Linked DNA regions of Mus musculus. The protein of the gene in region 1 interacts with the protein of each later gene in a biochemical or structural test. Links are inferred from orthologs where the notes say so. Each region holds a gene or a part of one and is shown on either strand. Other genes may lie near its edges.

Region 1 (3,179 bases):
AGTGAGGCTCTGCAGTTGGCACTCAGGTGGTTGAGTCCCTGTGCAGCCAGCCTGTGAGGGATGCACTCAGTCCTCCTCACGTATGAGCAGGAGTTCTGGTTAGGACTGCCTCGTTTACAGCCCGAGTGAGGGAATGCTGAGAGTGTGTTCAAACCTGTTAAGAGGGGCTGGAGAGATGGCTCAGCGGGTAAGAGCACTGACTGTTCTTCCAAAGGTCCTGAGATCAAATCCCAGCAACCACATGGTGGCTCACAACCATCTGTAATGAGATCTGATGCCCTCTTCTGGTGTGTCTGAAGACAGCTACAGTGTACTTACATATAACAATAAATAAAATCTTTTTTTTTAAAAAAAAAAAAAAAAACCTGTTAAGAGAGCTCTGGCACACACAGCCCAAAGTGTTTGCTGCTCCCCACTAGCCAGTATTGGCTATTCTTAGTGACATGGGTATATATACCCTTGTGGGTTTTAAATGTTAATAAAGGATTCCTCTAATCCCACCTAGGACTTAGGAGTGTGTCAGAGCGGAGGGAGTGAGGTATGAGGCTTCTTTGGAAAGTGGGCGGGTTCCCACATGCTTGCCCTCCCTGGGGGAGCCAGGAGTCCAGCTTCCAAGGCCGCCTGGCAGCATGAGAAACACCGCTTCCCTGCTCTCTCTTGCAGCAGCCAACCTACGTCCAGGCGCTCTTTGACTTTGACCCCCAGGAGGATGGCGAGCTGGGCTTTCGCAGAGGAGACTTCATTCATGTCATGGATAACTCAGATCCCAATTGGTGGAAAGGGGCCTGCCACGGGCAGACCGGCATGTTTCCCCGCAATTATGTCACCCCAGTGAACCGGAACGTCTAAGAAGCAAAAGAGATTATTTAAAGAAAGTGAAAAGTTAAGACCGTTCACAAGAATTACACCCACACGCTGCCTGTCACAGCCTGTGAGGGAACGCAGAACACCTGGCTGGGTCCCACGGGTGACCCTCTCATTGGGTTGCAACTTTGGGGGGTGGGGAGGGGTGTTTGATTTCATAATGCCAAAACTTAACCTATTGAATGAATTACAGTTTTTATTACGGAATCTCGCCGCTACCCCTGTTCCCCTCCTGTGTCCTTTTTCTCGTTCTTTCTTTCCTGTCCAGTGCATGATGTTTAAGGCCACATATAGTCCAGCTGATGCCAATAATAAAAGACAAGAAACCAAGTGGGCTGGTATTTTCTCTATGCAAAATGTCTGTGGAGATGGATGGACTGAAAGAGCCGGATTCCTCACACACAGGGGCAGCCAGTGCTTCTGGGGCCCTGGTTGGGGTTCACCCGAGATGCCCAGGGGTACCGCCTCCAGCCTCAGGCCTGGAGCATTCCATCAAAGTTGGAATTAGGGGAAGGAGGCCCACTGTCCTCCCCGGTCTCCTGAGAGTCAGACTGCAGGCCCTCCCCTCTCCCACTGCTTCCCTTCAGGTGTTTTGACGTTTTTTTGTTTGTTTGTTTGTTTTTTTTAAATAGTGCCTTTGTCTTATTTCAAGGGTGTTCATAAATGGTATTTGTACCATTTTTTTTTTTAATAAGTTAAAGACAGTCCAGAGCTTTTCAGTTGATTCGTCTCCTATCCTGTGTAAATATTTTCCTCTCAGGGCAGGGGAAAGAGGACAGAGAAAGGAGCTGGTAGAAGCAGAGAGTGTATTTCCCATCTTGAATGGGCCGGAGGTCTCGAAGCCTCAGCTTTTACTTTGTGAGCTGCAACACTCGCTTCAGCTCAGACTCAGTGGACATCAGAGTCTCTGTCTCCGTGTCTCAGTTATGGTCTGCTCTCTCTATGCCTGGAGCTACTGATCCAAACACAAGACGGTCAGAGGAGCCCTGGCATCCTTCACTCTTATAGGCCTACATGCAGATGGGCTTGAAGAGAATTGGCCTTTCATTTTTCACGCTCGTATTTCCCCACCTGTCCAAGGGTGCAGATAGCAGGATTGTGGGGTCGGCCGCATCTCTCTTGGCAGTGGGTTGTGCTGCCCCTCCCCCCACCCCACCCCTCCATCCCACAAAGCCTTTCGAGGTAGGAGAGACCAAGACCAGTGCACAGCTTTTTAACTCTTGTCTTCTGTGAGTTTTCCGTCCTCTGTAGTCACGTGCCTGCACACCGTTCTCTCCACCCTGCCTCCTTCCCACAGCAGAAGCAGGGCTCCACCCAGGCCTTCCCTTGGAGTCGGTGCATCCATGGGCTGCTAGACTCTTGCGGGTAGAGTCTCCCCTGGACTTAGCATTGTGAGATGGACTCAGCTCAGGGCGCCCCTAAGGCTCGGAGGCGGCCTTCTGGGTCCCCACCTCTCCTGGTTCCGCTGCTGCTCTCCCTGCTGATGATAAAGTAATCTCTGGAGTCACACCTGGGCCATGTGATTGTTTTATTTTGGAATTGGTGTATATCATGAAGCCTTGCTGAACTAAGTTTTGTGTGTATATATTTAAAGATCAGTGTTTAAATAAAAAAAAAAAAAAAACCAACTATGTACTTACTCTGACTTCTGCGGACAGCAATTTGGTAGGTAGTGATTAACTGTGAATAAACGTACAATGAGTTCTTAACTGTGTGTCTTCATTTCTCCCTGATGGTGTTTTCAGTTTATTTTTTTATTTATTTATTTTTTTCAAGGCAGGGTTTCTCTGTGTAGCCCTGGCTGTCCCAGAACTCACTCTGTAGACCAGGGTAACCTTGAACTCAGAAATCCGCCCATCTCAGCCTCCCAAGTGCTGGGATCACTGCCCGTCCTGATTTTATTTTATAGATGGGGTCTCACTATGTTGCCCTGGCTGGCCTCAAATTCGCAGAGATTCTCCTGCCTCTGCTCCCAAATGTTGAAAGTAAAGGCTTAGAGTATGTTAACTCTGGCCGGCATCTCCAGACCCTGTGAACCTAGGACGAGTGATGTAGCTCATTATGTGGAAAATGGTTTAGACAAGAACTCAGAAGAACCCAGAGCTGGGCTGGAAAGCTCCTCTTCCCTTCCGAGCTGAGGGTGTGGAAAGGCTAATCTCTGAGGAAGTCGGTGAGGCAGCTACATGACACAGCCGTGACAGTGGTCTTTTGGGTGAGACAAAGTTGGTAACCACACGGTGCTGGCTATGACGCGGTAAGGGTTGAGGCTTGAACAAAAGAGGATTCTGCCGAGCAAACCACCTGAACTGGTGGCT
Region 2 (3,652 bases), about 66 Mb from region 1:
AGTGCCAAAGAACAAGGATGCCTGCGGTGTTGCTTTTAATCTAAGGCTGTGAGCCTGAGGACTCAGAGCTGTAGTATATAAGGCCTAGCATTCTGATTCCAAAACATGAAAGTCTGTTTCAGCTCTCAGAGGAGAGTCTCCTTCATTCTCTAGATTTGCTCATTCAGGATCTTGCTCTATGCTTTGTACTCAGTGCATTCAGACTCACATAATAATTACTACCCAAACACCCTCCAAAACACCCCTCACGTAAGGCTGCCAGCGCAGTATTCCTTGGCCTAGTCAAGTTGCTGACTTCAATTCCTCGTCACAGGGTAGATGGGGAAAGATCACAGTGAGGCAGTAGGAGAAAGGCTTAGGGGAGGAGCGGTTTGTTCTGCAGATACTGGGACAGAGTGGAATTGACATGGAAGGTGTAGCCAGAGTAAACGAGCAGCAGTGGAGCTTAGCTGGTGTGTGCTGCTACCCAGAGGTCTGGGTGGCTGGGTATGTGTGACAAGGGGGTATGGCTTAGAGAAGTAGCATGCATATAGGAAAGGAAGCCAGAGTGAGATTTCCCACATAGCAGTGATCTTACCTGACATATTTTAAAAGAACACTTGGTTTTGAGGGGCTGAGAATCCACTGTGAGAGGTAGGACAAAAAGGCCTAGTTAGTATGGGGAGGCAATCACTGCAGTTCATATGAGAGGTTCAAGTGGGTAATGGGAAGGGCTTGAGATTAGACACCAACACTGTCTGAGGGTGAGGCCTAGCATCTGCCGATGCTAGATGTGAGAGAGAAATTGAAAGCCACACATAAAGGCTTTTGGCTGAGATATGGAGAACTATGAGAGGACCAGACTTGGGGTGCTAAGTAGCTAGACTCACAAGTAGTTTTAGACATGAATTCAGAGACACTATTGACTGTCCAAGTGGAACAGTGAAGTGGGTAGAGAGGAAAGAACCTGGTGTTCAGGAGGGGCCTGGATTAAAGGAATGGAAGAATAATCTATAAATGGTCCTTCAAGGCACAGCAACCTGGATAGCACCAAGACAGGAACAGTGAGAGGAGAGCCAGGATCTGACTCCAGCCGCTCCAACAAAAGGAAGCAATTAGGCACAGAAAGCAGCCAAGTTCTTAGCACTGGCCTTTGGGTCTCTGCAGATGTGGAAGTCATCAGTTTGGGCAGACACTAGGCATATGCTGAGTCAGAATGTCATGACAAGCAGTGGAGGGGAGTTAGAGATGATGTGTCTAAGCACCTCTGTGGGCTTGGGGTGGGGCTATTATGCTGCTGGTGGACCGTGAGCTTGAAAGTTGTATGGTCAGCCTTAAAAGACAGATTTCACCTAGGGGATGGTAGCACATACCTTTAATCCCAGCACTCAGGAGGCAGAGGAGAGGGATCTCAGAGTCTGTGGCCAGCTTGGTCTACAGAGAGTTCCAGGACAGCCAGGGCTACCCAGAGAAACCCTGTCCTGTCTGAAAAAGCCAAAAAAAAAAAAAAAAAACACCAAAAATCACCAGAAAAAAAAAAAAGGTTTCATTTTTTATAGCAGTCCAAATACATAACCAACCTGTTCGGAAAGTTCAGAGTTCCATTTACCCGCTGTATAAACCCTCTACATTAGCAGCCCTGCCAGAATCATGTATTGTTAAAGAGCAAGAATCTACAGCAGCATGGTATAGATGTTGAAAGGATGATCTAACAAAAGATAGATAGGTGGACAGACAGACAGACACATGGGTTAATAAAAGTAGAAAAGTTTGTACGAGATTGTTTCCATGGTTAAAAAAAAGTTCTGTTTATAATTTGAAAGGCAGAAAAACAATGAGTAAGTTAGTTGTTTGTATATTCTTTGGGTAATTTTACAGACTCCTATTATATATTTGATTCTTTTCAAGCTACTTTATTAAAAGTGCTTTTACTTCCAGCATGCAGTGTTAATACCCCGTCGGTACTGCTTCATAATGATTGTGAGCTAAGACTCATGAAGGAATGTTTAAAAATATTACTAATGAGTGTGGTTGGTCTCTTTTTGAATACTCAGGTACTTGGTAATGGAACTAATGGATGCTAACTTATGTCAGGTTATTCATATGGAACTGGACCATGAGAGAATGTCCTACCTTCTCTACCAGATGCTCTGTGGCATCAAGCATCTGCATTCAGCTGGTATCATTCATAGAGTGAGTAATCACATAACTGTATTTTTAAAAGGACCATTTGGTCGTCAGTCATCTAGTTACAAAAGAACTTAATGTTTTTATGTATGAGTGTTTGTGTGGTGTATGTGCACATGTGTGAGTGCACACTTATTCATGTGTGTTTAAAGGCCACGAGGTCAGTTTTGGCCTTATTTCCTGAACCTGGAGGGAGGCTGGTGGTCTCCTGACTCCGCCTCTCCGACACCCCCAGCACTGGTTTCCAGTTCCATGTGTAAGCACCCTGGCCTTTCACATGGCCGCCGGGGGTTTGAGTTCAGTTCCTGGTGCTTGTGCTCACTCCCTGATCCATCCCCACCCTAAGAACGTCTTTTTCTTCTTTTTAAAGTTTGGTACTTTGAGAGTCCAGGTTAAGCCGTGGAGTCATACTGTGTACAAAACACTGTTCAGATCAGCTTTTCCCCTCAGCCACTGTAAACACAGAGGTAGGGGGCCACCCTACTGCAGAACAATCTTGGTTTTCTGGTTTAGCCTTCCAGTTTGTAGTAACTTTTTTTTTCTATGTAGCCCCAGCTGTCCTGGCACTCACTCTGTAGACCAGGCTGGCCTCAAACTCAGTGATCCTCCTGCCTCTGTTGCCAAAGGCCTGTGCTGGCTTCCCTTCCCTTGTGCACCCCCATAACCAGGTTTTTCAAAGTGTAGCCTTTGCTGCCACCAAGTGGTCATTCCAAGCAATAGACCTTCTGATGGTAAAGTTCACTTTTAAATAGTAACTAAGATTCCTAATGAATCATTCTATTTCTAAAAATTCCCCCAGACCTCCAAATAACTGAGGCCACTTTTTAGTTTTATTTAGGACACTGAATTTTCCATCAACAATATGATGCTTATTTTCTTCCCTCATGCAGAAGGCTTTTTAAAAGTGTATTTATTTTTATTTTATGTATGGATGTTTTGTCTGCATTTATGTCTGTGTACCACATGCATGAATGGAGGCCAGGAAAAGGCATCAGATCCCTTGGAACTAGAGTTCCAGATAGTTGTAAGCCACCGTGTGAGTGTTGGGACCTGAAACAAGGTCCTCTGGAAGAGCGGCCAGTGCCCTTAACCACCGAGCCATCTCTCCACCCTCGCCCCTCTTCCTGTAGGCATTCTTATTGTCTCTTAACTGTTGCTTTTTGTGTGGTGCTGAGATGGAGCCTCAGATGCTGCTCATAGGAGGCAATGCTTTACTACTGAGCTATGGCCGTCAGCCTTACAATACACGTTTAATGAAATGTATGCTTTATGATAACTTCCCAGATTTACAAGCTGTATTGATTTTTGAGGGGACTGTTTTCCCTTACTTGGAGCCGGAGGTGAGGGCAGGAGAATGCCCCTACTTCCTGGAAACTTCATGAGACTATGGCGTGTACTTGCCTTTTGTGGAATGTTTGGTCCTTTAGCCTACAAGCAGGTGAGACAGAGCCCAAAGTAGTGTATGTTTTGCTTAGCACAGTGTTTA
Region 3 (3,652 bases), on another chromosome or scaffold:
TCCTCCAGCTCTGTTCTGAGGTGGAGAATATGACCGGGGAGTTAGGCAGCTTACTCTGGTTCTGAAATAACTATGAAGGAAGACTTGAGTCAGAGACTATGTCTTACCTCCAAAAGCTGCATTTGCAGTTATAGAAATTGTTCCCTGGCTCCCATTATTTTCAGTATATACCCCTGACAATGCATGAGATAAAATCATCTGCTCTTGCTATTATATTTATTGGCGTTAATGTACCTTTCTTCTTAGGAGGGCAGCCCTCCTTGGTCTGGAGTAGAGAGACCACACTGTGAAGCCAGTTGGCTGACTCAGTTCCCTTGACAACTTGAGACCCTTAAATATCAGGGTACCCAGGCTCTGATAACTAGAGACCAGGAACTCCTAGCTCAGTAGGATTGTTGACACTAGCTCAGTGTTCTGTCCCATTAGGAATTACAGTTTGTCTGCTTGGAGCCCCCTGAGCTGTGCACTCTGCCCTGCCTGCCCCTGAACGCACTAACCCCATGCTCTCTGGCTACAGTGCAGGTGTAGGGCGCACTGGCACCTTTGTTGTCATCGATGCCATGCTGGACATGATGCATTCGGAACGCAAAGTGGATGTATACGGGTTTGTGAGCCGGATCCGGGCCCAGCGCTGCCAGATGGTACAGACAGACGTGAGTGACCAGCGGGTGAGGCAGGGGAAAGGCTTTCTATTGCCAGGACGCCTGCCTGCTCTGAGGACTCCATTGTGCATGGGCATCATACAGTGTGTATGCACATGCATGGAACGCATGTGTTGATCAAAGGACAGATTACATGTTAGTTCCTTCCTTCTGCCATATACGTAAAGAAAGTAGGCATGGGGATTGGAGAGGTGGCTCAGTGGTTAAAAGCACTAGCTTTTCTTCTAGAATATCCAGGTTTAGTTCCCAGCAGCCACATGGAATGGAAGCTAACAACTATCTGTAACAGTGTCTCCAGTTCCAGGAGACACAACACCCTCTTGTAGCCTGTAGAAACTAGTATGCACATAGTATTTACACATACATACATGAGGCAAAACACTCATACACATAAAATAAATAAAAATCTTTTTAAAAGGAAATAGCGCATACAAGAGGTTGTAGCTCCGTGGCTGGGGGAAACAGAAAGGTGGCTGTTGTTTCTATTGGACCTTAAGGATAAGGGAACAGTTGGTATTGAATGCAAACGTGCTAGGGCCCACAGTCATGATGCTGCTAAGTCCAAGAGCAATAGTGAGACTCTGGGCACATCACAGACCCGGGATGGATCCAGGCTGGTCTGCCCTGCAGACCTTGCAGGCTCCAGACTTTGGTATCCGCCAGGCCAGAACCATGTCTCCCAACCTAACCGCCCCACCCTCAGGAGAACTCATGCATTTCAAGTGCTGCGTCACTGTATTGGGACAGTATGAATGACAAGTCTATCCCTGCTAAAATCAGAGGGAAAGTGCACTGAGTAAAGCTAGCCCTGGGAGTGATCTGGTGCCATGCTGTTGGTAACTGAGACCTCTGTGATCCACATTTCAGATGCAGTACGTCTTCATATACCAGGCCCTTCTGGAGCATTATCTGTATGGGGACACAGAACTGGAAGTGACTTCTCTAGAAACCCACCTACAAAAAATTTATAACAAGATCCCAGGGACGAGCAACAACGGGTTAGAGGAGGAGTTTAAGGTGAGTTGAAGCTGGACAGTGTCCAAACAGAAGGGACCACATGGTCTTAAAAAAAAAAAAAAAAAAAAGGATCTAGGAAAAATGCTAATTCTGTGAGAGCCATGGCCAGTGGTAGTTGAGTGTGTCCTGCGTGATAAAGTCACTTGAACTGTCTGTAAGGGAAGTGAATAGAAACAGTATTTCCTTACACCTCTCAGCACCCCTCGGTGATTCTCATGTTCAGCAGTGTAAAAGGCAGGCCATGCAGTATTCCAACAGCTCGATACTGCCGTTGTAACACAGAAGCGCCCAGAGACAAGGGAACCAATGGCTTAGGCTGTTATTTCCAGGTAATAGGCAATGTTGGGCCCATGAACCCTAGGTTGCCGACCACTACTGATGCGATTAGACAGTGACTTAACACTTAGGCCTGTGACTAGGGGGTTAACTTGGTGATAGAACGTATGCATAGCATGTGGCTGTGGCGTCAATCCCCAGAAGCCTTCTGCTCCCCCCAAGAGTAAACAGATAAAACCCATGTCATATTCTCATGGAGAAGTACTCCTAGAATCCAGGCATGGTAGTTCACCCCTGTAATCCCAGCATAGACAAGAGGATCTCTGAATTTGATGCCAGCAAGCTCCAAGGCAGCCAGAACTACATAGAAAGACCTATCTCAAAATACAAACAAACAAAAATGAAGTTCCCAAGCCTAAGCTGAGCCGAGGGCTACAGGCCAACAATTACAGCTATGTGGGAGTCTGGGGCAGGAAGATTACAAGACTATCTCAAAATCTAAGAAATGGAATCGAGCTGTGTGTGGTGGTGCACACCTTTATCCCAGCACTTGGGAGGCAGAGGCAGGTAGATTACTAAGAATTTGAGGCCAGCCTGGTCTACAGAGTAAGTTCCAGAACAGGGTGGGCTATGTAGAGAGGCCCTGTCTAAAAAGACAAGGCAGTGTGATGAGTGTGCTCTCAGGCGTGAGACAGGTGGTAAATGCGGAGACAGAGAGCCAATCACCTTAAAGCGTCCTTATTGCACTGCAGTGTATACTTGATTCGCTGGGATGCTGCACAAGCTTGACAACTCGAGTTTGGATGTCCAGCACCCTTATGAAAACTGCATGATGGGGTGTGCCCGTAACCCCACTATTGGGGAAACAGCCAGGAAAAGGGACAGACACTGGCCAATCAGCCAGCTAACTGCAACAGCAAACTCCAGGCTCTGTGAGAGGACCCTGTCTCAAAAAGTACGGTAGAGAGTATAGGTCACCAACCTCAACCTCTGGGCTCCACATGCATACATTAAGGAACATACCCAAGCAGACAAGGAAACAACCTCAGAACCAGGAAGAAAGAATAGAATTTGAATATTTTTCTAAATGGCAGAAAAGTGGCCCAGAAAATTCAGGGTTAGAGGAATCTCAGGAAGTTCCACAGGAGCCTAGAAGGTGTTGCTTCTCAAACATTCTTTTGACTCCTTACTAAACTTAAAGCCAGAAATGACATTTGGAAATGGAGCCGAGCACTGTAGGGAAGAAGGTCGGGGCCTGGAGGTGTGGTCTTAGTGAGTGGCGGGAGTCTCTCAGGTTCTTCACTGGGAGCAATAGTCACTCTTCTTTCTTCATTCAGAAATTAACTTCAATCAAAATCCAGAATGACAAGATGCGCACGGGAAACCTTCCAGCCAACATGAAGAAGAACCGGGTTTTACAGATCATTCCATGTAAGTTCTCCTCCCCTCCCCCAGGCTCACTGCTTCAGCCCCCAGTTCCCGCACACTCCAGCTCCTCGGGCCTTGCGATTGGCCTGAAGTCAAGAGTCACAGCACTGCCTCTGATTCTCTCAGTTCTTTAGTGGTTTCAGGAAATAAAAAGGCACAAAAGCCAAAGGAACATTGCTGTCTTTGCCCCACTGACTTACGAGCTTGATAAGAGGAGTGAGTGTTGGTGAGCTGCAAGCCATTCGTTGTCCTCCTTGCAGATGAATTTA

The links.
Region 2: the proteins of Grb2 (region 1) and Mapk9 form a complex in vitro, tested with the Homo sapiens proteins (2 studies listed by BioGRID). The link is inferred for Mus musculus from reciprocal best matches to the Homo sapiens genes GRB2 and MAPK9.
Region 3: the proteins of Grb2 (region 1) and Ptpra form a complex in vitro, tested with the Homo sapiens proteins (3 studies listed by BioGRID and IntAct). The link is inferred for Mus musculus from reciprocal best matches to the Homo sapiens genes GRB2 and PTPRA.

Annotation. Positions count from the first base shown.
Region 1 is NC_000077.6:115,643,439-115,646,617, reverse strand, and holds the end of Grb2 (growth factor receptor-bound protein 2), read left to right. Parts: intron 1-663; coding exon 664-849; 3' UTR 850-2,573; downstream 2,574-3,179. UniProt on the Homo sapiens protein: Non-enzymatic adapter protein that plays a pivotal role in precisely regulated signaling cascades from cell surface receptors to cellular responses, including signaling transduction and gene expression.
Region 2 is NC_000077.6:49,867,139-49,870,790, forward strand, and holds part of Mapk9 (mitogen-activated protein kinase 9), read left to right. Parts: intron 1-2,033; coding exon 2,034-2,172; intron 2,173-3,652. UniProt on the Homo sapiens protein: Serine/threonine-protein kinase involved in various processes such as cell proliferation, differentiation, migration, transformation and programmed cell death.
Region 3 is NC_000068.7:130,540,778-130,544,429, forward strand, and holds part of Ptpra (receptor-type tyrosine-protein phosphatase alpha isoform 2 precursor), read left to right. Parts: intron 1-517; coding exon 518-653; intron 654-1,529; coding exon 1,530-1,679; intron 1,680-3,013; exon of another isoform or gene 3,014-3,292; coding exon 3,293-3,386; intron 3,387-3,583; exon of another isoform or gene 3,584-3,643; coding exon 3,644-3,652. UniProt on the Homo sapiens protein: Tyrosine protein phosphatase which is involved in integrin-mediated focal adhesion formation.